7 linked regions of the Canis lupus familiaris genome follow. The protein of the gene in region 1 interacts with the protein of each later gene in a pairwise test. Links are inferred from orthologs where the notes say so. Each region holds a gene or a part of one and is shown in the gene's direction. Other genes may lie near its edges. The genes, in order: FXR2, ZMAT2, C28H10orf62, SYTL4, NT5C2, ARL6IP1 and ferritin heavy chain.

Region 1 (3,590 bases):
AACCTTGCGGCTGGTGGCTGGCCCGGGTGCGGATGATGAAGGGAGATGTGAGTGATGGGAAGCACGGACCATAGTCACAGAAAAGGGGGGGGACAGACGCTCAGGTCATCCACACTTGTTTCTTCCTTTCTGCCAGTTCTACGTCATCGAATACGCTGCCTGTGATGCCACTTACAATGAGATTGTCACCCTGGAACGGCTCCGGCCAGTTAATCCCAATCCCCTTGCAACCAAAGGCAGCTTCTTCAAGGTTACCATGGCTGTGCCTGAGGATCTGAGAGAGGCGTGAGTCAGGGACATCGGGATGGGGGCTCCGTTGACAGTCCTCCTGTTGGCCCACCTTTCTCCCAGGCCCCTCTTATTTTTGTTTATTTGTTTTTAAAGATTTATTTATTTATTTATGGGGTGGGGAGAGAGAGAGGCAGAGACACAGGCAGAGGGAGGAGCAGGCTCCATGCCGGGAGCCCGATGTGGGACTTGATCCCGGGGCTCCAGGACTGTGCCCTGGGCCAAAGGCAGGTGCCAAACCACTGAGCCACCCAGGGATCCCTCCCAGGCCCTTCTTGTACTGTCAGTCTTCCTCGTCCTCCCCCATCCTTCCTCATCTCATTTTTGTCATCCCCATCTCTCTGAACCTCTGAACTGCACACTGTGCCCACTGAGCACTATTCTCTTCCTTGGCAGCTGCTCCAATGAAAATGTCCATAAAGAGTTCAAGAAAGCGTTGGGAGCGAACTGCATCTTTCTCAACATCACAAATAGTGAGCTCTTCATTCTGGTGAGTTATTTGACCTGACTTAAAACGTAAACCCTCTCAGTGATTTTTTTTTTTTCCTCCCCTTTTAACTCCTTTGCAGAAAGGAAGGGGCTCAGATGTGCTTCTGTTTATTTGTCAAAGAAGACTTTTTGTATGGCTCCTGACCCCTGCGGGCCCAGGCCATGTTTCCTGAGTCTTCCCTCACGTATGACCTTAAGTTTTTTTTTTTTTTTAAGCCTGGCCATCCTTTTGCAGTCTGGACCTTCCCTTGCATATTTGGGCTCTGAAAAAATAGACTATACGATTCTCACCCCTCCCTCTGCCTAAAATCACTTCTCTTAGGTACCCTGATAATAGTAGGCCCTTGTGAAACTGATAGTGATTTTTCTCTTCTCTCATTTCATTTCTTAACTCCTGTCCTTTTCCAGAGACTGAGGCATCCTGGTTCCCAGTCCTGGGTCTTCCCCGTTGTGTATTCAAAGTCAGTTTCAATGATTTTGTCCATTGGTTTCTTCCCAGTCAACTACAGAAGCCCCTGTGAAGCGGGCGTCTCTACTGGGTGACATGCATTTTCGAAGCCTGCGCACCAAACTCCTGCTCATGTCCCGCAATGAGGAGGCTACCAAGCACCTGGAAGTAAGTTTAGGCCTCACTTCATACTGCTGAATGGTATTGTTATCATCCTGCCTTCCCATCCCATCCTCCCCCCATGCTCTTGTGTTTACAGAACAAAAAGACTAAGGTCTTTCTGGGCCATTAAACCTGGGTCTGCTATTTTTTCCCAGACTCCTCCAGATGGCAGAGCTTCATCATGTTATAATAGTACAGTTGTTTTCATTTTTTTCTTAACCATGGGACCCTTTGATCAAGTGAAGTTTTACTTGAAAACACAATGCCTAAAACAGATCAGAGAAGCTCTGCCTAAGTAGAAGAAGGGAGTGTGACCCGGACCTCCACTGGCCTCCCCCAGATCACCTCTGGGAATCAAACGGCTTTGCAGGGTCTATTTGAGAACCATTTGTATTCTGGAAGGACCACTGTCAAATATTGACCTTTGGCAAATCATTTGATTTCACTGAGCTTTATCTGTGTGACAATGAGGTGTTTAGACTAAAATATTTCAACAAGGTCTTTTTGAGTTCTGATATCTTAGGATGGTCAGATTCCCTTTGCTTAGGTGCCATACCATCCTATACAAATAGTGTGTGTGTGCACATCCATTCCGTTTATCAATAGAACTGATCTTTTTGGTAGGCTTTTCTCCGAGCCTGTGCACATTGTGAATCATAGTGGTCTGTCACTTCTCCAGGGATGCTACTCAGGGCACTGGCAGAACTTCACCATTACCCCCAGATGATACAAATTATGTCTGCTCAAGTTCCCAACGAGCAGATTCCCTGGTGACAAAAGGTAGACTTCAACTCTTCTTAGGACCTGGTTGTATTGATCAGTGTGGTAAAGAGTGCCAGATATGGGGCGCCTGGGTGGCTCAGTTGGTTGAGTGTCCAACTCTTGATTTTGGCTCAGGTCACGATCTCAGGGTTGTGAGATCGAGCCCTGAGTTGGGACTCCGTGCTCAGCACAGAGCCTGCTCAAGATTCTTTCTTTTCCTTTCCGCCCTCACTTTTTCTTTCTCTCAAATAAATAGTCTTTGAAAAAGATAGTTAAGTTGGCCGTACATGTAGTCTTGTTTTTGAGAGATCTTGTTTTTCTTCTTTTTTTCTGTTTTGTTTATTAAATTATCTTGAAATAATTGTCTGCATAAAGGAAAAACATAGTATATTAGGTACACTTGTACCCGTCAGGCAGTTTAAGAATAAAACTCTTGGCAAACTTCTAGAGAACATTTGTAAATCATCGTAGAGCCTCTCCTTTCCTCCCTAATGCAGTTATTTTGAATACCCAGCGTGGTCCCTTTTTGTCCATCCCCTTCTTGCCTGAGGTAAGTCCTTGCCATAATACAGTCCCACCCATCTTGGAAGTAGGATGTAGTGGACTGGGATCAGGAATGACCCCTTTCAAATAGCTTTCCTGTTTGGTGCTTCTACCTAGGACTTCCTCTTCCAGAACCTTCCATGTCTTTCTGCCCTTGTGCCCAGGTATCTGAGGACTGATGGAGAGAGGAAGTGGTAGTGTGGTTTCCATAGCTCTTTATATGCTTTCTCAGCCTCTTGCTTTCTACTCAGTTTTTTGGGTTTTATTTTGGGAGTTGATATTAGTTTGGTCAGAGTAATTGTTCCTTACTCTTACATTTACCTTGTGAAAGAGCCTTTCACACCAGCCTTAATTAATCCTTCTGATAGTCTGGGAGTGGGATGAGTCAGGTGGAACAGTTCAGCAGATGACAGAACAGAGACACTGAGTGTATTGTGTTTTTTTTTTTTTTTTTTTTTTTTAAAGATTTTACTTATTTATTCATGAGAGACGCAGAGAGAGAACCAGAGACACAGGCTGGGGGAGAAGCAGGCTCCCTGCAGGGAGCCCCATGTGGGACTTAATGCTAGGACCCCAGAATCACGCCCTGAGTTGAAGGCTCAACCGCTAAGCCACCCAGGTGCCCCGAGGGTGTGTTGTGTTTAGCGTCACATAACCAGATAGTGTCAGAGCCAAATCCTGAACTGTGGTGGCTCCCAGCCCAAACCCTGCCCTCGTTTACCTCCCTCACCCCCACCCCAAGCCATTGGTGTTCGCCAGGTAGGAGTGGAATGGCTGGTTCCTGAATTCTCCATACAGGTCCCAGGGGTCTGTGGATCCAAGGTGGTTCTGGCTTGCTTTCACATATTTTTGTCTGCTTAAGTCCTGCAGAGTGTTAGGGACCCGGGACAGGTGTCTG
Region 2 (4,386 bases), on another chromosome or scaffold:
TCTTGATCCTTGCCTGCTTGCCATCTGCTGCTCTTTCTAGAAGACGTTTCTTCTAGGACTGAGTTCCTGATGGACTTTGCAGTTGCTGGCCAGGATGGGTGACAAGTTCCTCTGCCTCCTCCATCCTTTCTGGGTACAAAGCTGTAGGAGGTCCTGAGGACTCCTGGGCTAGTGTGAGCAGCTATTCTGCATGGGTGCAGATGGCTGGTATGTGAAAGAGACATGCTCTAACTGCAGAGACAGATGGCAGATTTGAAGTGCCATGGAATGCTGCCAACAGGTGCTGAGATGGTTGCTTTGAGCAAGGCTCTAGGAAGGTTGCCCCAGGCTGGGACCATTGAGATAAGAAGTCAGATACGTGGCCTTCCATTGTGGCTTCTGAACCAGATTCTGGGAAATTTGTCCACAACCTGCCCTTGGCTTGTCCAGGGAGTATTGGGAGATAGCAAGGAAGGGGCAAATGGCTGCCTTCTCCTTTTGAGGACAGAGATGCTATCCTAAGGGCATAGGAGTGCTCATGGTTGTGGCATCTCTAGCTCAACTGCTGTTAGTAGAGTGAGGCTGTCTGTTTAGTAATTTTGAATGTTGAATTTAATAGGTGACTTGACAAGATGGTCTAATCTTTTGAGATTTTGGAGACCATTTCCTGTGCCAGAATTACTGCTCGACTATGTTCCATGTTGTCCTATGGAGGTGGCTGTTCTAGAAATGATTGGATAATAAATAAAATACTAAATGTAGTAGTTTGAGTGATTTGTTATCAAGAGATTGGTTTGCATAGGCCATAGAAAACCCTCAAGTGTACACTGCACAATTCTGAGAACTAGGAGCAACCTCCCTGGGGTGATGCTTCTGGATTCAGTGAAGGAAACAGTCAGTTTTCCAGTGCCCCCACTCCACCCCCCATCAACTTGGAAATACAGTCACGTCTAAATGAACATAGTGAGATGCATGCCAGAGTTCACCCTACAGCGTTGCTGATGACTGGCCTTTCCAAGTCCCATCATGTTGATTAAATTGTGCCCTATTGATTGAATGATTATAAAGTTCCTCAGTTGAAAGAAAAATGATTTAACCGAATGATGATAGCATTGCTTCAAAATAAAGAGTGTGCAAAAATTGCTTTCTATATATGCGCTGGAAAGGCTGCAACTTAGAGACACTGGGTGTCGCGGGCCATATCTTTAGTGCATACAGGTAAATAGGGCAGCTAGAGGCTCCTAATAATTCCTTCAGCCTTAAAAATTAGAAACTTGGCAAACGGATGCACAGTTGCTTAAGACTAGATCAAAGGGCCCTGATCCAAATTGCTTCCTTGTTTATAAAATAGACCAGTTGAATTAAATCAGATGATTGTTTAGAAAACCAAGGCAAAAGACATTAGTACGCGCCCTTACTTCCGTATTGCTTCATGCTCTCCATGCGCATGCACCATTTCCGTGGGTCAGAGGAGGGGCCGACGACCCTGTTTTAGAAGTCCTTAGCTCGTTTAGAACGCGAAACTCTAAGCTTATTGGAGGGCAAGCTTGCTTTACGGCTCAGGGCCGCTTTTTACGTCATTTTCCGGCTTCCCATTCACTTCGCAGTGAAGATGGCGTCGGGCAGCGGGGTAGGTGTTGTGTGTGAGGAGGCTTTGGTCGGGGGGCAGAGGGTGCCTTCGTAGCGCGGAATATCCTGCACCCAACTGGCTTCTCGACACCTCCTTGCGGCCCAATGGTCCGAGTTCAAGAGCCTCCTCGTAGGGTCCTGGCACAGGGTCTGTGGAATCGCGGAGAACTCTTGGGTTGGGGTCCTGAGGCCACCTCAGCCTTCTGGTGCGGTGTGGAGAGTCTTCGCTCTCGACAGGTCCGGGGGGTCGCCTTGCCGGCGTGGACGCGGTTCCCTCCGTTTCTCTAGGGTTCCGATATGATTAGCGACGAATCTTGAGCGCTTTTTTCCCTACAGACAAAAAACTTGGACTTTCGCCGAAAGTGGGACAAAGATGAATATGAGAAGCTCGCCGAGAAGAGGCTCACGGAAGAGAGAGAAAAGAAGGATGGTGGGTGCCTACTCCCTAAAGGGCAGAGGTATCGTAGAGGTGAAGCCATAGCTGGAGAGCGGGTGGGGAGTTGAAATGCGATGTCCTGGTTGGTACCTTGTGTAACCTCTGGCTGAATGTTGCCTCCCTGGTTCTCCATTTCTTACTGTATAAAATGGGAGGAAAGAGATGGACTGAATATACTCAGAGGTATTTCCCAGCTCTGTTTCCTGTGCTTTCTTGCCTTCTTTTTGCTTAGCTCGTTTTGTACTTTCTTCAAGTGCAGAGAAGAGAGGAGAAGCCTTAGTAGTGACAGAGATGTGGAGTATTTTGCTGCTATGCACTACTCCTATTGAGGAAACTCTTTCCGTTGAAGTCACTTAAGGGGAAGAATATAACTGGTCCAATCAAGTCCTTCCCCTGTGGTCTGAGAAGAGTGAGGGTACTGGGAGGAATGTGTGATTGTTTCAGCTGGTGGTTAGTAGTACTGTTTCTCTGCTTTGTACAATGTTACGGAGTTGATTCTCCTCTCCTAGTTAGAGAATCCATTATACAAAAAGAATCCTTATTTTTTCTTATGCTTTCACTTTACTTTCACACCACCTTGCACAAACTGATCTTTTTAGTTTTGATCTAATTTGTACAGTAGCAAGTAACAGATATTGCCTGAATGTTGGTCCCATTTAGAAAATCTTCCCCAGCCTTCTAGAGATTCTTTTTTGTGTGTTACACTTGGGGTATCTGTCTGAAAGTATTACTGAGTGTCCTTGCTTTTCTTTTAAAAGTTTACTCTTTGTGAAAATTAATTCCTTTCTTCAATTCAGTTAACAATAAAAAACTTTGTTTTTAGACTTATTGGCTTTGAAGTGGAAAAAAGCTATGTAGAGTTTAGGGATTGCATATCATTTTTTCCTGTGTTGAGATTCTCCCTAGTTGCTGCTACAAGTGCTTTTTGTGCCCCCTGCTTCAGGCTTAAGAAAGAAATGAAGAGTAGACATCTGTGTATTGGGTTTCATGCATTTCTTTTCGTTTCTGCTTAAGGAACTCTAATAATAAAAGGACTTTCTTCTGTCTTATATTTTAGGAAAACCAGTACAGCCAGTCAAACGGGAGCTTCTCCGGCATAGGGACTATAAAGTGGACCTGGAATCCAAGCTTGGGAAGACAATTGTCATTACCAAGACCACGCCACAATCTGAGATGGGAGGGTGAGTGACTTTTCATCTTTTTCAGGAGCCAAGACTAGGTCTAATAAACTGTGTTGATTTTAGCAAGTGTCGAGGAGAGGTTCTCTGGCTCCAGGATAGCAATCATGTTACTTATAATTCTATCTTTATTTTTATTTATTTTTTTAATAGTCCTACCTTTAGATATTTCTTTGTGTCACTCCTGTTCCAGGCCTCAACTAAACATGGTAGTGTCTCTAGGAGGAGTTACTCTGTAGACCTCTTCATATTGGCACTGTAACTCTTTCTTAATATCTGAAGAGGAAGAAATGAAGGAAAGGACTCCTGAAAACATTTCTAGGGGAGAGATTTCTCGAGCTAGAATGGAGCCTAGAAGCTGTTGATGGTGAATAAAGGGAGTTGAGGTTCCAGACTGGCTGCAAAGGTTGTAGTTGTTACGGATTGCTTGGTTGTACACTTTCCTCCTAGACCAAGACTATGACCCATGAGAAGAGGTGTCCTGTAAGGACTTTTGTTTTTGCCCACCACTACTACAGTATTCATTTACGTTTTCTAGCAGGAGAGCAAAACAGATAGCAATGAGTGACATGTCTGAATTGCTTAGAAAACTTACATCAGGGATCCCTGGGTGGCTCAGTGGTTTGGCGCCTGCCTTTGGCCCAGGGCATGATCTTGGGGTCCTAGGATCAGGTCCCATGTCGGGTTCCCTGCATGGAGCCTCCTTCTCCCTCTGCCTGTGTCTGCCCCTCTCTCCCCCCCTCCCTGTTTCTCATAAATAAATAAATAAAATCTTAAAAAAAAAAAACACCTCACATCATTCTTTTCTGTATTAGTTACCTATTCCTGTGTAAATTAACTAACTCACCAAAATTTAGCAGCATAAAACAGATAGCTAACAATTTGGGTAAGTAATCTGGAAAGGCTTAGGGTTTCACAAAGCTGCAATGAAGGTGTCTGCTGGGTCTGCATTCATATGAGGCTTAAGTGGGGCTGAATGATTTGATTGAAAGCTCTTTCATGTAGTGCTTTGGAGGCCTCACTTCTTTGCCCCATGGGCCTCTAGTGCTGTTGACAATAAAGCAAGTGGCTTCCCAAGAGTAAGACATGGACAGGCTATTTATTTATTTATTTTAATTTTAATTTTTGTATTTTTTTTTAATTGGAGTTCGATTTGCCAACATA
Region 3 (3,389 bases), on another chromosome or scaffold:
AATCACTGAACCTCTCTAATCTGATTTCCTCATTTTAGAATGGAACTGAGCCACAGGGTTAATGCATTCCTCCCAAGGAGCTCAAGTGTGAGGCCCTGGCACAAAGAATAGAGCCAAGGGTCCCATCACTGCTCCCGGGACACAGCCAGAATGTCCAGGAAAGGAACTGTGAGCAACTTTTGCTCTACAGATGATGTTTCTCTGGCTCAATTCTGGCCCCCGGCGTTGGCTTTGCAACCCAACACTCAGGAGCAGAGGAGGAAGCCATTGCATACCACATTGCCAGGGCCTCCTGCAATAAGTTAAAAGTCTTCCAAAGAGGAGGTGGGAACCTGCCCTTGATGAGTAGGTGAAAAGTTAGATATTCTTCTGGAAGCTATTGCCTGAAACTGTGTAGCTCTCTTTTATTTCTTATTTTTGCACTGTTAATTTTTACTGATTATTTATATAAAGAGTATCATTTTAAAATGAAAACTAGTGACTGGAGGGTAAAATTGTTGTGGAGGGACCATTTGGCCCTGAACTCACTCCCACAAACAACCTCAAAGATGAACTTTGAATTGTTATTTCCAAATGAGGTTAGTAGATGACCACAGAGCTACTTCAGTAGGACAAGGGAGATGATGTTCCCCATAAAACATTGAGCTTGTATCTTATTCCCTTAGTACGTAGACTAAGATACTACTGTGCATATTAAAGCCATTACTTTCTTAAATAAAATATTTTGTTTTAAAAAAAAATCACAATTTTTACAATGCTGTTTTGGCATTTACTTTAGCATTCACTTTTAAAAAGTGAAATGCATTAAAAAAAAATGTGTTTGATGCCTCTGGGAGAAAAATAAAGGGGCCCAGGCCTGTTTCTACCCTGAGAGGATAGAAATTTGGGATTGTGGGCCAGGCTTTCTATTATCTGTACCTACAGAGACCCTGGCCAGGTGGCTCACCTGCTCACAGTCTAAACTGTGTCCATTTAACCAGGGCCCAGGGGAAGGGGAGCAAATTCTGGGTATGCAGGTGCATCACTAAGGTAAGAGGTAGCAGTCCCTATCCTGGGACAGCCCCTGGGATCTGGAATCTGGGATCTGGTGAAGTCCCCTATCCTATCTGCTCTGGCTTCTCAGTCCGCTGCTTGTCTCTACCCAGTTGTGACCTCATATTATTCTAGAATGAGCTCCTTCCTGGGCCCCTTTCCTTTTGAACCCTGCTCTGTAAAGGGGTTGGGGCTGCAGATGGGGATGAAATGTGCTAAGCTGGCAGAAGGGGTGGGCCCTGAACCAAAGGAGACACCAACATCAGGCAGCCAGGAATGGATGCCAGCCTAACCAAGGGGGTCCTTCAGTCATGGTCAGTGAGCCACTGGATAGAGAGGGAAAGAGACCAAAGATTGGAAAATAAGGTTTGAGTCGAAGAATGGGTCACAAGCAGAAGACAGAAGGAAAGCTGCTTTTCCACTGACCTTAGGGACAGCTGTCAGGGTGGGAGACAGGACTTGGGCCTCAGGAAATACCTGCCAGGTTAGACGTGAAGGGTGCCTAGGCCTTTCCCCACCCCACCCCCTAACCTTGCTCACAATGGGGTTCATTGCTGAGGCGGGAGGGGCATCCTAGGAAGGGTACAGCTGGGGGCCTGCCTGCCAGACAGCCTCAGGGAACCTGCCCTTTCAAGCATGAACCATACCATCCGGGCTCCCCCCTCCCAGCGTGCTCTTAGCTCTGCCTGCCTGGCTTAGGGTCCTGGAGGCCTTCTTGGAGCTCATCCAGCAACCATCATGCAAGGTGGTGCTGGGGACTGCCCTCTTACTCGGAGGTGGAGGCCTCATGCTGTGGATTCAGAGGAAGAAGAGAAGGAAGGCATCCCTTGAGTCTGTACGAGATGAGCAGGAGCCACCAGAATGTCACAAAGCAAAGAATGAGAACTGGATTAAATCTCACTTTAGCCGCCTTTCCGAAGAGAAGCTGGCCGCCTGCAGCAGCAGCACCGCCTCTTCCCCCGAGAGTGGCAGCGGGGAAGCCAGCACAACCATTCGCATGGAGACTGTCACCACAAGGCAAGGCCAAGTGGGCACGGCTGTGCGCCGGGAGTCCTTCACCAGTAAGCAGAGGATGTCCGGGTCTTCGGTGACCAAAGAGACCCACAGGGAGTCTGGAAAATCCCCATCCACGGATACGGCCACATGGGCCGCTGTGGCTACCTGTACCAAGGAGATCAACACCCTGGGACAGCAACTGGCTAATTCCATGTTGCAGCGAGCCACGACTTACCAGAACTCAGGCCACCTGGAGTCCAAAGACATCAACCAGGAGGAGCTGAAGGCCCTGGAGGAGGTGGAGTTGAAGCTGAAAGGGAATTTTCTCACTCAGCGGGGTACCACTGTAGCCGGCATGAACCAAACACATGCCTTCCATGGCCATGGTCACCCTGGCTACCAGGGTTACCCAAGCCACCCGAGCCATCCAAGCCATCCGAGCCACCAGAGCCACCTGAGCCACAGTCTGCCCAACCGCAGCCACCAGATCTGTCAACCCTTTGAAGCCACCTAACCATGGGTGGAGACACCCCTTCCCCCAGCAAGGCTGGCACACAATTGCAGGCCTGTTCTCTCTCCTGTGGGGCAGCCTGTGTGGCCCAGAGTGAGATGCTGCTGCCCAAATCCCTCCTTCATACCCCCTCAGGGGTCCTGGGCCCCTCCCAGTCTGTGAGTAGGGTATGCCACAGAGGACGGCTCCTGATGGAGGGCGAGTGGAAGGAAGCGAAGCGGCCAAGACAGACTCACGGGCCCCTGAAGGCCCACAGAGAAGATAGGCGAGGCAGATCCCAGGAGTAGCTGAGAGCCCCAGACTGACGCCTAATGCCTGGAACTGAGCCAATAAAGCCTTGTATTCCCTCATTCTGAGTCTGGGGGCTCTGTGGCCAGCCTCAGGACTGGGCAGCCATACGGAAAGAGGGTTCCTGCTCCCATAGTCCTCTTCATGTGGCCCTTGGCCTGGGCCTTTTACTGATTCAAGACTCCATAAATCAGCTTCCCTGAGTCTTCAGGTTCTGAGAATGGGACGTCTCCAGGGAGTTCAGCACCCACCAACCCGCTGTTGCCAGGGAAGGAGGAAGCAGCCAGATGTCAGGAGATGGGGGGAAGGCCAGGCTTCTAGAAGCTAGTAGGCAAGGTGGGAGGTGGGTCTCCTGTCCTCTTAGTGTCATCTTCACCCTGTCCACTGCTTCTCAAGTTGTGTGGCCTCCTGCACTGCAGTGTATTCTCCTTGCACCACCTGCTTTCTGGGGCCCACTGGGATCCCCGTTAGTGCCTCCCCCCACCTACCTTCAGAGCTGTTGTGCTGTGTATACTCTCTCTTCTTGTTTCTATCACTATGGCTGGGACTGGGGCTGCTTGCT
Region 4 (3,590 bases), on another chromosome or scaffold:
AATTGTTGTGCTTTTTGTCACACAAGCCAGGGAAAATTTTACTTTGGAGATGGCATCTCAGGTGAGATTGTAGCAGTGTGCATAATAGTGCCTGGGATCTGAGTGCAGATCTGGATTTGAATCCTTGTTCTGTTAATTGCCAGCTAGGTAAGTCACCCCTTTTATAAAATAACTTAGGTGAATCACTTAACCTCTGTGAGTCTTAGTTTATTCATCTACAAAGTGGAGGTAACAATAATATTCCTGTTTCACAGGATTGTCCACAAAGTGCCAATGGACATTCAGTAGGTTACTGTCATTCCAGTTAAGATGAAATTGCTAAAACAGAGTTAGGATTGAATCATGATATGAACTGTTCAATGGCAAGGTTCCTTGGTAAATTTTTTTTTACATTGGCATTTTTGATGCTAAAAATAGTACGTGGTGCATAGACTCTTTGGAAAGATAGACAAGAAACCAGTAGCAGTGGCTGCCTCTGGGAAGAGAGACCGAGGTGAGAGAACAAATTAGTTTTTTTTCTATATGCCCTTTTAGAACGTTTGAACTTTTTACCATGTCTATGTGTATTGCTTATTTTAAAAAAATTAAGAGTAAGAGGATTTGTTTGCATGTGTTTCAAAATTACAATGATGTAGAAATAAGTACATTAGGAGAAAAGTACATTCAATTCCCTAGAAATAACCACTGTTATCGGCTACTTGGATATCTTTGCAGAGATTTTATATTAAGCAGCATGGATAATCCCAGCATACATGCAGGGATTTATATTTTTTCCATTTTATACAAATAGGCTTATATGAACCTCATAGTGTACATGTATCTTGATTTTTCTCATTTAACAATTTATTGTTTATCATGGGCATCTTTCTCTGCCATCACTTACATATCTATCTCATTTTTATTGCTGTATAGTATTCTCTCATTTGCCTATATATAAATTGTTTGCTTTTTTTGCTGTTAAAACTATGCTGTAACTTATCTTGGCCTTCTTATGTGGAGGTAATGTAGGAGAAATTTCTAGTGGTAGAATTGCTGAGTCAGTCATGCAATATTTTGATAGCTACAGCCTTTCATAAAAAATATTAAGAATGTTAAATCTGCCCCTTTAAATACTAATAAAAACAGGAAGGCAATTATCACCAAACTATAGCATATTATTAGAAATGTAGAATTTCTTTTTTAAAAAAGATTTTATTTATTTTTTTTGAGAGAGAGAGTGTGTGTTTGAGCATGAGCTAGGGGAGGGGCAGAGGAAGAGGGAGAAGCAGACTCCCTGCTGAGCAGGGACCCCCCTGCCCCCCGATGCAGGCCTCCATCCTAGGACCCTGGGATCATGACCTGAGCTGAAGGTAGATGTTTAACCAACTGAGCCAGAAATGTAGAATTTCTTAAGCATTTGACACAGGAATCATTGAGGGGCCTACAGTTGATATAATTATATTGGAAATGTCACCATAAACCATTACGTCCTACTGCCAATAAAAGTGTCTTACATCAGAAGAAAAAAAACTGCATTACAATGGAGACATTTGCTCTTCAAAATTATTTTGAGCTAGAATGGAAATATGCCACTGAAAAAATACACCAATTTCTAGCTAAGGCTAAACTCCAATTTTAAGAGTCTACTGAAGTTCACAATCTGGAAATTAATAAGTTTGTAGACATTCATAAACAACCAAAAGTCCACTCCGGCATCACATATCTATTTTAACTTAAAAATTCTACATTTATTGCCTCTGATCTATCCTTTTTCCCCCTTAGCCATCCATTTGCTCCCATCCAGTTTTCTCTTCTTGGCATCCACCTCCCTATTTTTTTTGTATCATTCCCACACAGTAAACTGTATGTACACATTCTGGGTATGTGTACATTTTTCCAAACCAAAGGGGATTATACCTTCCTGGCATTAGTATACTCTATGCTAAGACCTAGGTGAGAGGAGCCCCAGTGACCACAGGCAGGTGATAGGATATGTCTGATCTGCACCAGCTCATGTTCTGGACACAAAAGTGTAAAGAACAGAACCATGCCGAGAGAGCCAATAGAGTGAAGCAATTCTGGTCCCAACAGCCAAAGATAATAGGCCAGTTGCTGCTCATTCCGCACATTCATGCATTCACTCTTACATTCATTCCTTAAATATTTGTGGAGTACCTACTATGTGTCAGGTACTTTGCTAAGTATCAGGCATACTAGGCTGAGCAAGACTAGGGTGATTCCTATCCTCCTGGCATGTAGGTTCTAGTGGTAGAGACAGCCAATTAATCAAAAGTAGCACAAATAAATATAAAGTTAGAAATTGTGGCATGTTCAAATCCTTGTAACAGAGTTCCACTTAGGCCTCAAATCTTTGCAAGCTCTCTTTAAAAAAATACTCTTCACCTTCAAAAATCCTACAAGCAATACATACCATTCTCTTTAAAAAGACTGTACACATATACACAGGAAAAAGTAAAAGCCCCTTTTCCTTTCCCCAATCTAGTCCTCTCTGTAGAATAAACAAGTGTTATATGTATCCTTCTGGGTTTTTCTATGCCATGTAGTATAGTGGTTAAAAGCATGGACTCTGGAACCAATCTGTCTGAATTTGAGTCCTGCCTCTGCCAATTGCTGTGTGACCCTGGGCAAGTTACTTAATCTCCCTGTTCCATAATCTGTAAAATAGAGATAATAGTACCTATAGGGATTATCTTGAGGATGACACAAAATGACATACATAAAGTACTTATAACAGTGCCTGGCATGTAGTAGATACAATATAAGTGATAATGATAATAACCAGTATTTATATACATACATATTCACATGTACAAATTAACATATTTCAATATAAATGGGATGCTTTTTCTTCATTTTGCTTTGTTGACTTAACTGTACATCTTGGATAGCTTTTGGAGTCAGCATGTATGGATTCCCTGCATGCATTCTTTTTGATGATTGCATGCCATAATACAATCACCATATGCGGGCATTAAAATCACTCATTTAACCTTTTCTATATTGATCACTACCATTTAGGCTGTTTATACTTTTGGGCTTTTACTAACGATGTTGGTAGTAAGATTCTTTTTTTTGGTAGTAAGATTCTTCGTCATGGTATCAGTGAGTCTGTGGCAACTTTGCTGGAAGACCTTTGTGGGTATTTAGAATCTAGTAACTGTATCCCCAAAAGTAGCAAAATAGTGGGCATAGCAGAAGACTTAGCTGGTTCTTCTGTAGCTCCTTCTGAAGGAACTGCCTTGGAAACCGGTGGCTGCCATGGCCAAAGGTCCCAGGATTGTATTCATAAGGAGGATTCTCTTACATCATGAAGCTGTTCTTGGGGTTAATTTTCAGATCTCCTCTATGAGAGGTCCCAACAACTCCTGAGAAGCCCAGCATGACCTGTCGGGTTTCCCTGTGTTTCAGATCAGTGCTGAGTCCCCGACTGGCTTGACATCACACAAAGGCGAGTTGGTGGTTTCACTGAAATACATCCCAGCCTCCAAACTCCCTGTTGGGGGTGACCAGAAAAAGAGTGAGTTTTGGGGGGAGGGGCCTGTTGTAGCCCTTAGCGTTCAAGCGTGTCTGTGAGATAGGGCAGCTGGTGG
Region 5 (4,028 bases), on another chromosome or scaffold:
AAAGTCTTGGAGTTTTAGTTGAAGGCAAGTTCTATGAGTCAATAGTGTGGGTGCCATGAACTTTATTGCCTGAATGGAAGTCCTGCAAAGAGGAAGTTAGGGTACGGCTTTGCTCTTGATGGTACTACAAACATTTGGTTCTATTTTGGGTGATATACTCTAAAGGAGCCACATTCTAACCTACTAGGCACATGAAGACAATGAAGACAAAGACTTTCCCTTCTCCAGTAATGGGAGACACCGGTCTAGAATAACAGAGAACCTGGGGCAGAAATCTTCAAATATCTATAAAGTAGAAGGTCAAAGAGAAATTAGACCTGTTTGTTCTCTGAGGCTCCCAAGGGGTAGGACGTGGGCCAGAGAGTGGATGTTTCAGAAACACTTTCTAACTGGTCTAAGAGCTGCCAAAAGGGAGGAATGCCTTGCTCTGGAAATAGTGGGCTTTTGTCACTGGGGAGTCTAACGACTTGGTTATGGTAGGGGGTCGATATAACTAATATTTATGGAGTGCTGTGTGCAAGGCTGTGCCGGGGACTTTCCCTCTATTATTTCATCCTGTGACACCCTATGAGGTAGGTACTATTGTTATCTGTTCCTGTATTATGGATGAGGGAACTTGGTACAGTGAGGTCATGTAACTTGCCCAAGGTCACACAATTTTTAAGTGGTGGGCCTGGAATTCCAACCCATTCTGACGAACTCCAAAGCTGAGATTCAAGCCTGTGTTATGGGGTATGGGGGTCTGGACTAGAGGGGCTCTGGGGTCCGTTTGACTAGAAGATTCAGTGTTCGGGGGAAAAAGGGTGCCCCATCCCCCTAAGGAAAAGCAGTCAGAGTGTAGGACTGGGCAAGGTAAGGTGGTCCAGGGCCTTGCTGAGGGGCTGGGAGCAAGGCCAAGGGATGGAGACGGAAAAGACGTGTAAGGGCCGTCAGCGTGCGTTATCCCGCGGCTCGGCCACAACTCCTGTGCTGTCGTGGACCTCTCAAACCCACGCTAGGGCCTGAGGCACAAGCCCGCGTGGGGGCTCCGCTCCGGCAGCGCGGCTAGGGAGCGTCGCGGCGGCCGGGTTCTGCGGCGGAGCTGGGGAAGGAACAGCGCACCGGTCCCTGGCCGGGCGCGAGCTGGGGGCGGTGCCGGGGCGGCGGGGGCGGGGGCGGGGGCGGGGGCGGGGGCGGGGCGGGGGCGGGGGCGGGGGCGGGGAAGGCGCGCGCCGAGGCGGCTGCGGCAGTTGCGCGCTGGGATTGCTGCCGTGCGGCGGGTCGGTGAGTGCGGCGGGACCCGCGGGAGGGCGGGAGGGAGCGGCCGAGCGAGCGAGCGCGCGACTCGGGCCGGGGGGCCGCCGCCTGCCCCGGGCCCTGCCCCGGCCCCGGCCCGCCCGGGCCGCTGCGCTCCTCGGGCCCTTCTCCATCGCGGCCTCCGCGCGGCCCCGCGCGGCCCCCCCGGCCCCCCGGCCCCCGCCTCGGAGCAGCCCGTGCCTCCGCGCCGCGGCGACGCCCCCAGCCCCACGTCACGCCCGCGCCATTGTTTCCCCGCCGCCCGCTCGCCGGGACCGCCTTCCCCGCGGAGCGCGGCCCTCCGTCGGTCTCTTTCGAGCCACGAGCGCCGTGTCCTGTTCCCTCGCTTTTCTCACGCGGGAGGCAGCCCCCCCCCCCGCGCCCCCGCGGGCGCTTCTTTCCCCGGTTGTGCCCAGTTTTCCCGGCCGCCGCGGGCTTCCTTCCGCCTCTCGAGGGCCCCCGCCGCCTGCGCCTTCCGGGTGCGCCTCGAGGAGCTCGCGAGCCGCGGGGCTCGGAGGCGCCGTCCCAGCCGCAGGAAACGCCAGCTTGGTACCCGCATCCAGTTCGCTCCGTTGCAGCACTTCCTGGAAAGCGCCCGTCGAGTCGCAAGCCGCCGCAGCCGGGCTCGTTATTTCCTCGCGGCTCCCGAGTCGGGCCAGCTGTCCCGGCCAGCCCGGTGCTTTCCTTCCCGGGGACCCTTGAAGCTGCGGAGCGCTGAGGGCGCGATGCAGCTCGAGGCCCGAGCCCTGACGTGCAAGCATAGCGTTGGAGGGCTTGACGCTAGTAGGCCCCAGCCTTTAAAGGCAGCAGGTAGAGCTCGCCGTCATCGGTTTTCCGGTGCTGTCCATGCTGTCCGTGGTGGGGCCGTCAGGTTTGAGGGATGCGTTGTGGAGCGCAGGGCTCCGCAGTGACTAGTCTCCTTTATAGGCTCGTGTGCGCGCGCACGCGTCTGCGTGTCCGGGTGCGGACGGCTTCTTAATTGAGCTGTACTTGTTTTGTAATGTCTGCACATTGTTAAATTTGCCTCTGAAGACAGCGGATGCAAATTATGCTAACTGTAACCTGAAAGGAAGAATGTTGAAACAGAACCGTTTACCATGGAAACTTAATGTGATTGAGGTCTTTTTTGTTTGTTTGTTTGTTTGTTTGTTTGTTTTTTATATTTACCAGGACATTTTTCCTTCTTAATTTTACCTAAGTAGGCTTCATGCCCAAGGTTGGACTCCCAGCTCACATCCCTGAGATCAAGAGGTGCATGCTCTACCACTGAGCCAGCTAGGAGCCCCTACTGGGACACTTTTCAACAATGGTTGGAATTTATCCAGATGAAGATATCCAGGCCTGTAGAAGTTCAGTTCAGTAAAACACAGCTAGTTAGTAATTAAAATCAGAACTCCACATGGTGGGCTGATGCTAGCACACACAGACTTTATTTCTGAAATACATTTCGTTTGCATCATTAGCCAATACAATTTCAGCTCTTAAAGGTTTCTGCATTTATTCTCACTAACCTAGAATTTGGATTTTAGAATTTAATAATCAGTCTGTAAAATGAGAAGGCTGAAGGAGATGTACTGCAAGATTTCTTTCAGTTCTAAGATTTGATTCTATTGCATGAAAATGTACAATTAGCCACAAGTTTCCAAAAGTTTATAATTGTAGGAAGATTTATATATAGAGATAGTTACTTAGGGTATCTGCAGGTCTTTCTGTGCATCAGAAGTATCTTCCTAAAGAAAGCCAAATTACAGTGGAATGTTAAGAGGAGGGATGTTCATTCGTCTGTCTCTAGGCTGTTTTTGCTGTTTCATGGGAGAAAGAAAGCACTTAAAACATGTTTTTTAAAAAAATTTATTTATTCGTGAGAGACCCACAGAGAGAGAGAGAGAGAAAGAGAGAGGCAGAGACCAGGCAGAGGGTGAAGCAGGCTCCATGCAGGGAGCCCAACGTAGGACTCCATCCCAGGTCTCCAGGATCACACCCTAGGCCGAAGGCGGCGCTAAACCACTGAGCCACCGGGGCTGCCCTGTTTTATTTTTTTATTATTTTTAAAGATTTTTAAAATTTATTTATTCATGAGAGACACAGAGAAAGAGGCAGAGAGACAGGCAGAGGGAGAACCAGGCTCCATACAGGAAGCCCGATGTGGGACTCGATCCCAGGTCTCCAGGACCATGCCCTGGGCTGAAGATGACACTATACTGCTGAGCCACCTGGGCTGCCCTGTTTTTTTCAAATTTAATTTAATTTTATTATTTTTTAATTAAGATTTTATTTATTTATTCATGAGATACACAGAGAAAGAGGCAGAGACACAGGCAGAGGGAGAAGCAGGCTCCATGCAGGGAGCCCGACATGGGACTTGATCCCAGGTCTCCAGGATCACACCCTGGGCTGAAGGCCGCGCTAAACCACTGAGCTACCCAGGCAGCCCTGTTTTTTTGTTTTTTTGTCTTGTTTTGTTTTTTTGTTTTTGTTTTTTTAATTTTTATTTATTTATGATAGAGAGAGAGAGGCAGAGACACAGGCAGAGGGAGAAGCAGGCTCCATGCGCCGGGAGCCCGACGTGGGATTCGATCCCGGGTCTCCAGGATCACGCCCTGGGCCAAAGGCAGGCGCTAAACCGCTGCGCCACCCAGGGATCCCTTTTCTTTTTTTTTTTTAATACAGCTTTTTATCGCTTAGTTTTTAAAACAGAGATAAATATGATAAAAGCTTACCAATGAAATAGCAAAAGAACAAAAAACAAACCC
Region 6 (4,172 bases), on another chromosome or scaffold:
TTCTACAAACTTCACAGCTCTAAAGGCTCCCCAGACGCGATCTCTGTATCTATCCACGGCCTGCATCTTACCTACAAAAGCCTAGTTTCTCCCCAAAGTGGCACTTTATTGAAGAGTCCCCTTCCTTCGCAAAGGCCTTCTTCCCCGTCTCCCCGCCCCTACCCTCCGACATCGTGGTAAAAAGTCACACCCTTCCCTGAAATTCACCGAGCTCTGGAGCCGTGTCCTCTCAAACTCTTAGGAACCTGGGTAGTCTCTTAAAGTCACGTTTGTGGCATACTACAGGTCATCATAAAGAGGACTTAAAAGGCCGGAACGTAAAAAGCCACGGTGAGGTCTTCCGGAAACCTCTCTGATCGGGTCAACAGGTCAATGTCCCATTTATAACCACTGGCATGGTTTCGTTCCTATTACGGAAAACCAAAAAAACGCTTAATGCATTTTGAAATCCTGCAGAGAAAAGACGTGGGAGTCATTCGTCTGGTGCTAAACTGCTTACGAATCCACCCCACCCCCACCCCCACCCCCGAGGAGGGCGGTTTACCTCCTTGCTTAGCAAGACCTCTCATCTCAGGAAGGAAGGAGGTTCGGTCAACACCTGACCCTTCACGCGGAGGGGCGTCGTCGTCTCCTAAGCAACCCAAACGCCCCGCCCCGCCCCACCCCACCAAGGAGTTCCCTTGGAGACGCCCACGAAGAAGCCGACTTTGGAGAAATCGGTGCTTTTCCCCTCCCCACCCCCACCCCCCACCCCCCGTGTTGGAGAACTAAGCCCAGATTGCGCTCCTCCTCCCCCGCCCCTTCCTCCATCCAGCTAAGGCCTTACTCCTGATTGCTTGCACGCGGCGGACTGCCCTTTCCTCCCGGGGTGGGCACGAGCGTCCGAGCCGCGGGGCCGGGGGAGGGGGAGGGGAGGGGGACGGGGGCCCGGCCGGGGCGGCCCGAGCGGCGAATGCCACCGAGTGGCCGCGCGGGGGCGCAGCGAGGGCCACCGATCGCAGCGAGGTCGGCGTCACCGCGCCGTCCTCCTGATAACGCGGGGCGTGTTTTGTTTCCCCCAGGACTAAATCCCGAGAGCTAGCGCGGCGGGGCGGCCACCGCGGGTCACGCAGCCCGGGACCGGGGCGCGGGGGGGCCCCGCCGCGGCAGTTCAACCGCTCCCGAAAGGCCTGGGCGGGGCGTCCCACAGCTCCTGGGCGCTGATTGGCCGCTCCTTGTCCCCGCCCCCTCGGCCTGCGCGGCCTCGGTCTCCTTTGACCCCGATTTCAAGCCATGCGCCGGGCCGCGGTTGGTCGGGCCGCCCCGGAGCTTGAGTTCAATCCACCCAATGAGGAGCGGGCTTCGCGGGGCCTGTCGGGAAGGCTGGCTGGTGTATATAAGCGGCCTGCGGGGCGTCCCCTTCGCGCCTGGGTCGCCGTGCGGGTCTCGGCGCGGAGCTCGCTGTGTGCGGGAGGGGCCGGCTTGCGCTCGCTCGGGCGGCACTTCAGGGACGATGGCGGAGGGAGATAATCGCAGCACCAACCTCCTGGTGAGTCGCGAGGGGAGCAGGCAGGGGCCTCCGGGCTTGGGCGGGGGCTCAGCCTGGCAGCGCTCTTGCGGCCTCGTTCCTCCCACCGTGGTGGGCCCGGCCCTCCTCCCCCTCGGCCCCGGGTGGGTGCAGCGGGGCGGTCCCGGACCGGGCGGCCCTTAACACCCCGTGGGGCAGCTACGGGGCGAGGTGAGGACGGCGCGTGACCAGCCCCCGCGGATCGGGGAGGAAGTGGGAGAAGGGGGGGCTGCGATGAGCCTGGGGCGCAGGCCTCCAGGGGCCTGTCTGTCGAGCGCTTTGAACCCCAGGCCCCCAGGCTCTTCTACGGGGTTCCCCTCCTCTTCCCTTCGTTCTTTAGCCCCAATACTTGGGCAGGGGTGGGGGGAGGGGGGAGGACGGGAGAGGGGCGGGGAGGGTCAAAGGGCCACTGGCGAGAATTTGCTGGAGCTGGCGCAGCTTAAACCCGCAGGGAGGCTGTGAACTCACCGCGGGGAACTGGGATTAGAGGTCCAGCTGGAAGGACAGTGGGGAAGGACCTTGGGTTTGCCTGGAGTTTGCAAGGGAGGGGTGTGTGTGTGTGTGTGAGAGAGAGAGAGACAGGTGGACTTTAGAATAAGCAGGGGTCTGAAGGAACTGCAGTGGTGTCTCACGGGCGGATAAATCTAACCTACTTGTTTTCACGGCGCGATCTAGGCAAAAAACGAGAGAAATCCTTGCCTTTTTCTTTTCTTTTTTTTTTGTCCGTTGCCACAACGAAACAGCATTTCATCCTTGACGTTGGATATTCCAAGAGCCCGGGTGCTAACGAGTTTGGTGACCTTGCAGGGCAGCCGTGATGGTGCCAGATTTTCGTTTTGCATTGGTGTTTAGAAATGCACGGCCTGTTCCTGTAACGCACATGCCAGCACACTTGTCTGTGGCTAGCCGAGTTAGCTCCGGCCAAGTTCCAGTTAAGGGGAATTGATCGAAGCACAAAGAAATTGTCCAGCAAATTCACACAGTTTGTTGAGGTGACCGAGCCTGGCCCGAAGCTCAGCTGCTCTTTCCAGCAGAAAGCAGTGTAACTTTAAGCAGAACAAGGCCCTTGGCTTTGGATTTCCTGGGTTCAGATCTCTTAACCTCCATGTATCTGTTACTTCATCTGTAAAATGAGGCGAGTAACAATACCATCCTTTGAATTCATTGGGAGGATTAATTAAAGTATAAGCATATAAAATACTTAGAGCTTCTGGCACATAGTAATCTTCTGTTTAACTATATTAAGCGTGGTGTATATAAAGTCAGGAATGTTGAAGTCCCCCAAGTAATCAGTGTGGCACAGATAGATAGCATCTCTAGTAAGATTAGGCTGTCCTGTCCTCTCTCTTTTGTATATTTCCCCATGATAACATTTATAAGGGCATGTGGGTTTCTTTCTAGTTTTTTTCCTGTACCAAAATCAGTATAGGGTTTTTGTTTTTGTTTTTTTGTGTTTTTTTTTGCCACATTAGCTCATTCCAGAAGTCTACTTTCAGCTAGGTTGTCAGTCTTGCAGAGAAATTTGAAGTCTAACCAAATGTTCTGGTAAGTGTAAGAAGCACTCATTGTATGGAGATACACTGAGCTTGAGATGCCTCATGTAATTTGGTGAAAGTAAGTTTTACTTAATTGTGCAAATGATGCCAGCATCTAAAGGATTCCATTACACAGCGCTATTTTAAAAATTGAATGCTGTTCAGAGAGAGGCTTTCTTAATGGATTTAGAAGTAGGAGTATAAATCAATGAGATGACAAAACAACAGATCAATCAATTCTAACCACCTGAAAAATGAGCACATTTGAAGTGATCTAATTTTATATTTTGGGTGCTGCCACTTAGTGCATGACTTTGAGAAAGCTGGTTACCCATCTAAGGTCACTTAGATGGACCTTATCCATAAGGTCTTATAAGGATAAGGTCTCTTATCCCTACTTTGAGGGCCTCTACTAGGATTGTTAACATTATGTATGAAGAGTAGCCCAGTGCTTGGACTTGGTGACTTGGTGACTGTTAAATGGTAGGTTGCCACCTCCCCCCCCCTTAATTGATTTCTGTCTTGCTACCAAAATTGCAGAATTATTTAGAAACTAAGATAGTGATTTGATTGAGGGCTCTTTTACATTCTTGGTGTCTTAAAAAAAATTAACTGAGAAGCACAGAAATGTTGGGAGTGGTAAAATGATCACTTTACATGTTGGTCTTGTGTAGGCTGCAGAGACTGCAAGTCTGGAAGAGCAGCTGCAGGGATGGGGAGAAGTGATGCTGATGGCTGATAAAGTCCTCAGATGGGAAAGAGCCTGGTTTCCACCTGCCATCATGGGTGTGGTTTCTTTGCTGTTTCTGTAAGTGAGCTATTAAATTATTGTGGATTGTGCTTGTTATTAATAAGGGCTCAGGTAACACACAGCCTCTTTTGTAACCTATAATCTGTAAAGAATGCCTTTTCTTGGAGCAGTTCTCCTAGTTTTCAGTAACCTAAACCAGTTGAATAAATGAGTGGCTCTCACACTTTTTGGCCTAAAGAACCTTTATATTCCTAAAAAGTATTGAGGACCCCAAGGGGCTTTTGTCTCTTGATGTTTACATTAACCATTGCAGCTATGATGTCATCATATTCTGAAGCTT
Region 7 (4,207 bases), on another chromosome or scaffold:
CTTTTTCTTCAGACTTAGCTCAACTGTCACTTTCCTAGGGAAGCCTTCCCTGGCCTTCTATCCCAGACTGGATAAGGCACTCCTCGTCTACACTCTCCCACAGGCTTCTGCTTATTTTATTTTATTTTATTTTTGTAGTTTTAGACCTAAAAAAAATTTTTTTTTCCTGAAGGTAAAATGTTCATTCCGAAACGAAAACAGTAGAGACCCAAGAAAGAGATCACCAGAATTCCGTCAGCAACGAATTTTAACATTTTAGAGCCTGCCTTCTTTTTGTTGAGGTTGCGAAGTTCAGCTTAAGGTTTCATGTTTGTGAGCGTCCAAAGGGCCTCGGCGAGGTCTCCCAGCCGTGCGGAAGGACCTGGTGGCGAACAGTGGAGCTGGAAGCCGGCCGACAGGGCGGGCGCCTGGAAGGAAGGGACTCGGCGGCCCTGCCCTGCCCTGCCCGGTCCCGTGGACACTGTGCCCACCGGCCGCTCCGCAGGGGCAGCCCCAGGAGGTGGCTCCCCGGGAGATCTCCTCAGCTTGAGCCGGCTGTGGCCTGACCCGGGTGCGCCAAGGCAGCCGTTCCAAGATGGCTCCGTCTCCAGATCCCCAGTGGCTTCTCCTCCCTTTTCTAACCCGTCCCCGGATCTTCTCAGAAGCCCCGGGGGCTCGTCCCTCACGGCTCCCCCTCGAAGGCGCCCGCTCACCGCATCTCCCCGGGAACCACGGCCCGCCCAGCCTCTGTCGGGGAAGCTGCACCGGGAGCCATGTTGGCGAGGGTCGGGGACGGCCCCCGGGACCCCAGCCCGTCCGCGTGTCGCTCCCGGCCGGACCCTGAGGAAGGGAGAGCGAGCCCCTCCCGCCCCACCTCTAACTGACGCAACCTCCTAGGGCTCCCACTGCCACTTTCCAGGTGACGCCCGAGGAGATCCCCCCGGGTGTGGTAACTGCTGCCCCGCCGCCCGGACTTTTAACCTGCCCCCGGGGCAGGATGTCTCGGGGAGCCCGCCCGGACGGCTCAGGGGACACGTGCCGGCGGCTCCCAGCCCCGGGCGCCGGGGCTCCGCGCCCGACCCCGACCGCACTTCTTCCCCGCCCCCCCCCATCGCGGGAGCCGGGACGCCGAGGACACCCGCCCCGCCCCGCCCCGCGCGCGGCCACACGCCCGCCGCCTCAGCCCGCGCGGGGCCGCCCCTCCCCCACCGCCCCCAGGGCGGGGTCGCGCGCCCGCCGGAAGAGGCGGGGCTCCGCGCGCGGGCGGGCGTCTTGATTGGCTGGAGTGGGCGTGACGCCCGATCCCGCTATAAGAGCGGGGCCTCGGCGGTCTGCGCCAGTCTCCGCCGAGAGTCGCCGCGGCTTCCTGCTTCAACAGTGCTTGGACGGAACCCGGCGCTCGTCTCCCCTCCCCGGGCCCGCCGCTCAGAGCCAGCCCTCGGCCACCTCCACGCAGCGCTCTCGGACCGCCCCGAGGCCTCCGCCGCCGCCGCCCCAGCGCCGCGCAGCCGCCGCCGCCGCCGCCTCTCCTCAGCCTCCGCCATGACGACCGCGTCCCCCTCGCAGGTGCGCCAGAACTACCACCAGGACTCCGAGGCCGCCATCAACCGCCAGATCAACCTGGAGCTCTACGCGTCTTACGTCTACTTGTCCATGGTGAGCGCCGCTCGGCTCCGGGCTCCGGGCGGCGGGGCGGGGCGGGGGTGTGGCTGACGCTTGGGCCCTCCCGCCCCTGCTCGCCCTGCTGGAAAATGGACGCTGCTCGAGGCCTCTCAGGACGTGCGCAGAAACTCTGGCCGGCTCGGCCTTTCTGACGGCCCCCTGGGAGGGCTCCCTCTTAGTCAAGGGCCGCCTCTGCGCGCCGCTTCGTATTTAGAGAGAGCCTGGTTTCAAGGAATCCCCGACTTGCGGCAGCTGCAACCGGCACAATCCTGCAGTTAGGAAAGCGGGGTGTGCGTTTCCATCCTGTTCTCCGTGTCGATCACGTGGCCCCGAGGCTGTCCTTTTGCTTGGGTGACGGGGGCGAAGTGGTCCAGCCCCCGTCCTCCCTGCGACTGGCGGAGCCTGCTGGGTAATGGTGTCGAATAGCAACCGTTGGGGGCGGGGGTTGGTGCTCAGTGGCTTATCTCCCGGGGGCCGACCACTCTGGAGCAGCCATCGCTACCCGCTCTGTTCTGCTTATCGCCCAGTCCCACTTGAAGCAGGGAAATCTCCCCTTTTGCGCACACGGTTGTCTTAGTCATCCGTCCTCTTGCCCGGGCATTTAGTACTTTATCCTTTTGTGGCTGAACCCTTGGTTTTAGAATAAACTACACCAACAGTCACTGGGCAAGGAAACTTTCCGTGCTGATCGATGGAATCCATTTTCCAAAATCCTGGTTTTAGGCGGTGTGGTGGGCGTTTTCCTTAGGATTGCAAAAGAAAAAAAAAAAGAAAAAGGATTGCCTTACGATTGTGCAAATTATCTAAGAATAGACCTGTTCCAGATGAATTTGAAAATAGGCCTGGATTTCCGCGACTGCCATTCCATTTCAGGAACACCTGGATTCAGCGAGTGTCTAAAAACGGAATCAAGTTTTCTGTTTTCTGCTGGCAGTTTCTTTGTACAGCTTAGCGTTGCCAGCAGTTGTCACCTTGCCTAATGGGTTAATCTTAGAGATCCGTCAGTATGCTGTAAGCTGGCAAGCTCATGTTTTAACATGGGTTTAATCAGGGAGTTAGGGAGTACAGGGTAAATACTCCCACACCCTCTCCAATCAAATGCGACACTGGCCAGAAGAAGTTTGCTCTCATATAGGGCTTTAAGAATTTATCTGCTGGGGGCAATTCCCTATGATATTCTAAAGGTTCCTTGCAGTAAACTTTAAATGTCCAGGACTGCGTTTCATTTTTGTGTTTTAGAGTACAGACTAGTGTTGTGTTCTGTCCAAGAGCACAGCCTGTCCGCGGTCTTCAGTGCAGACTCCTTTCTTGCTGGACTTTGAGGAAGAAAGGCTAGGCTTGGCAATTCCTAACAGAACATGTTCGTGTTCTCTTTTCAGTCTTATTACTTTGATCGCGATGATGTGGCTTTGAAGAACTTTGCCAAATATTTTCTCCACCAATCTCATGAGGAGAGGGAACATGCTGAGAAACTGATGAAGCTGCAGAACCAACGAGGTGGTCGAATCTTCCTTCAGGATATTAAGGTGAACAAAACATCTTAGATCCTGTGTCTCATCTATCCGGCAAGTCCTTGGGTGTCAGAAATCCCTCAAGCTAGCAGTTGCTCTTATAAAATGAAGTACTTTTGGCTTCTGTGTTTTTTTAAGCCTATCTTCTAAGTTGAAGGAGGTGAACGGTAATGGGCACAAGGCTGTTAAGTTGGAAACCATTGTGGGAGAAACTGGGATGTCCCTCTTGCCAAAGCACAACGATTGCATGTTAGGTGTTTGCTGACTTGGGCAATAATAGGTAGAGGCTGTACGTGCATTGACCTGACCTCCTCTCCTCTCGTTCAGAAACCAGACCGTGACGATTGGGAGAATGGGCTGAATGCAATGGAGTGTGCATTACACTTGGAAAAGAGCGTGAATCAGTCACTACTGGAACTGCACAAACTGGCCACTGATAAAAATGACCCCCACGTGAGTGTTGGCAGTCTGGGAGAGAATGGAGGGAGTCATTTCCCTCTTTAGGGGTTGGGAAAGTGTACCGTTAACATTCTTCCCCATTCTGTCTTCTAGTTGTGTGACTTCATTGAGACTCATTACCTGAACGAGCAGGTGAAATCCATCAAAGAATTGGGTGACCATGTAACCAACCTGCGCAAGATGGGGGCTCCCGAATCTGGCATGGCAGAGTATCTCTTTGACAAGCACACCCTGGGAAACAGTGATAATGAGAGCTAAGCCTTAGGCTGTCTTCCCATAGCCGCAGGGTGACTTCCCTGGTCACCGAGGCAGTGCATGCATGTTGGGGTTACCTTTACCTTTTCTATAAGTTGTACCGAAACATCTACTTCTTTCGTTTGTATCATTCCTTCAAATAAAGTAATTTGGTACCCAGCTGTTGTTTCTTGAGTTCTTGGGATGGGCTAGAAATGTATTTAGTAGGTCATCTTTGTGAAATCTGCTGAGGTGTTGTAGTTCAGTCACAGTAACCAAAATGACATGCCTAGGGAGGGATTTGTGTTTTATTAAAGTCCTTAGTTAGGAAATGATAATTGAGGCTGGGTGTGCTGAATTCA

Evidence for each region.
Region 2: the proteins of FXR2 (region 1) and ZMAT2 interact in binary tests that used the Homo sapiens proteins (3 or more experiments, as listed by UniProt). The two-hybrid records come from large-scale screens. The link is inferred for Canis lupus familiaris from reciprocal best matches to the Homo sapiens genes FXR2 and ZMAT2.
Region 3: the proteins of FXR2 (region 1) and C28H10orf62 interact in binary tests that used the Homo sapiens proteins (3 or more experiments, as listed by UniProt). The two-hybrid records come from large-scale screens. The link is inferred for Canis lupus familiaris from reciprocal best matches to the Homo sapiens genes FXR2 and C10orf62.
Region 4: the proteins of FXR2 (region 1) and SYTL4 interact in binary tests that used the Homo sapiens proteins (3 or more experiments, as listed by UniProt). The two-hybrid records come from large-scale screens. The link is inferred for Canis lupus familiaris from reciprocal best matches to the Homo sapiens genes FXR2 and SYTL4.
Region 5: the proteins of FXR2 (region 1) and NT5C2 interact in binary tests that used the Homo sapiens proteins (3 or more experiments, as listed by UniProt). The two-hybrid records come from large-scale screens. The link is inferred for Canis lupus familiaris from reciprocal best matches to the Homo sapiens genes FXR2 and NT5C2.
Region 6: the proteins of FXR2 (region 1) and ARL6IP1 interact in binary tests that used the Homo sapiens proteins (3 or more experiments, as listed by UniProt). The two-hybrid records come from large-scale screens. The link is inferred for Canis lupus familiaris from reciprocal best matches to the Homo sapiens genes FXR2 and ARL6IP1.
Region 7: the proteins of FXR2 (region 1) and ferritin heavy chain interact in binary tests that used the Homo sapiens proteins (3 or more experiments, as listed by UniProt). The link is inferred for Canis lupus familiaris from reciprocal best matches to the Homo sapiens genes FXR2 and FTH1.

The regions. Positions count from the first base shown.
Region 1 is NC_049226.1:32,723,142-32,726,731, reverse strand, and holds part of FXR2 (fragile X mental retardation syndrome-related protein 2), read left to right. Parts: coding exon 1-47; intron 48-136; coding exon 137-285; intron 286-684; coding exon 685-778; intron 779-1,276; coding exon 1,277-1,393; intron 1,394-3,590. UniProt on the Homo sapiens protein: mRNA-binding protein that acts as a regulator of mRNAs translation and/or stability, and which is required for adult hippocampal neurogenesis. Specifically binds to AU-rich elements (AREs) in the 3'-UTR of target mRNAs.
Region 2 is NC_049223.1:34,978,966-34,983,351, forward strand, and holds the start of ZMAT2 (zinc finger matrin-type protein 2), read left to right. Parts: upstream 1-1,545; 5' UTR 1,546-1,591; coding exon 1,592-1,609; intron 1,610-1,944; coding exon 1,945-2,038; intron 2,039-3,101; coding exon 3,102-3,225; intron 3,226-4,386. Other genes in the region: HARS2 (histidine--tRNA ligase, mitochondrial), read left to right, coding at 1-6. UniProt on the Homo sapiens protein: Involved in pre-mRNA splicing as a component of the spliceosome.
Region 3 is NC_049249.1:11,037,652-11,041,040, forward strand, and holds C28H10orf62 (uncharacterized protein C10orf62 homolog), read left to right. Parts: upstream 1-1,193; 5' UTR 1,194-1,819; coding exon 1,820-2,542; 3' UTR 2,543-2,889; downstream 2,890-3,389.
Region 4 is NC_049260.1:74,947,825-74,951,414, reverse strand, and holds part of SYTL4 (synaptotagmin-like protein 4), read left to right. Parts: intron 1-3,408; coding exon 3,409-3,517; intron 3,518-3,590. UniProt on the Homo sapiens protein: Modulates exocytosis of dense-core granules and secretion of hormones in the pancreas and the pituitary. Interacts with vesicles containing negatively charged phospholipids in a Ca(2+)-independent manner.
Region 5 is NC_049249.1:15,808,070-15,812,097, reverse strand, and holds the start of NT5C2 (cytosolic purine 5'-nucleotidase), read left to right. Parts: upstream 1-1,180; 5' UTR 1,181-1,263; intron 1,264-1,778; exon of another isoform or gene 1,779-2,085; intron 2,086-4,028. UniProt on the Homo sapiens protein: Broad specificity cytosolic 5'-nucleotidase that catalyzes the dephosphorylation of 6-hydroxypurine nucleoside 5'-monophosphates.
Region 6 is NC_049227.1:26,551,269-26,555,440, forward strand, and holds the start of ARL6IP1 (ADP-ribosylation factor-like protein 6-interacting protein 1), read left to right. Parts: upstream 1-1,369; 5' UTR 1,370-1,492; coding exon 1,493-1,528; intron 1,529-3,755; coding exon 3,756-3,889; intron 3,890-4,172. UniProt on the Homo sapiens protein: Positively regulates SLC1A1/EAAC1-mediated glutamate transport by increasing its affinity for glutamate in a PKC activity-dependent manner.
Region 7 is NC_049239.1:55,066,991-55,071,197, forward strand, and holds ferritin heavy chain, read left to right. Parts: upstream 1-1,342; 5' UTR 1,343-1,521; coding exon 1,522-1,635; intron 1,636-3,020; coding exon 3,021-3,167; intron 3,168-3,479; coding exon 3,480-3,605; intron 3,606-3,704; coding exon 3,705-3,869; intron 3,870-3,870; 3' UTR 3,871-3,960; downstream 3,961-4,207. UniProt on the Homo sapiens protein: Stores iron in a soluble, non-toxic, readily available form. Important for iron homeostasis. Has ferroxidase activity. Iron is taken up in the ferrous form and deposited as ferric hydroxides after oxidation. Also plays a role in delivery of iron to cells.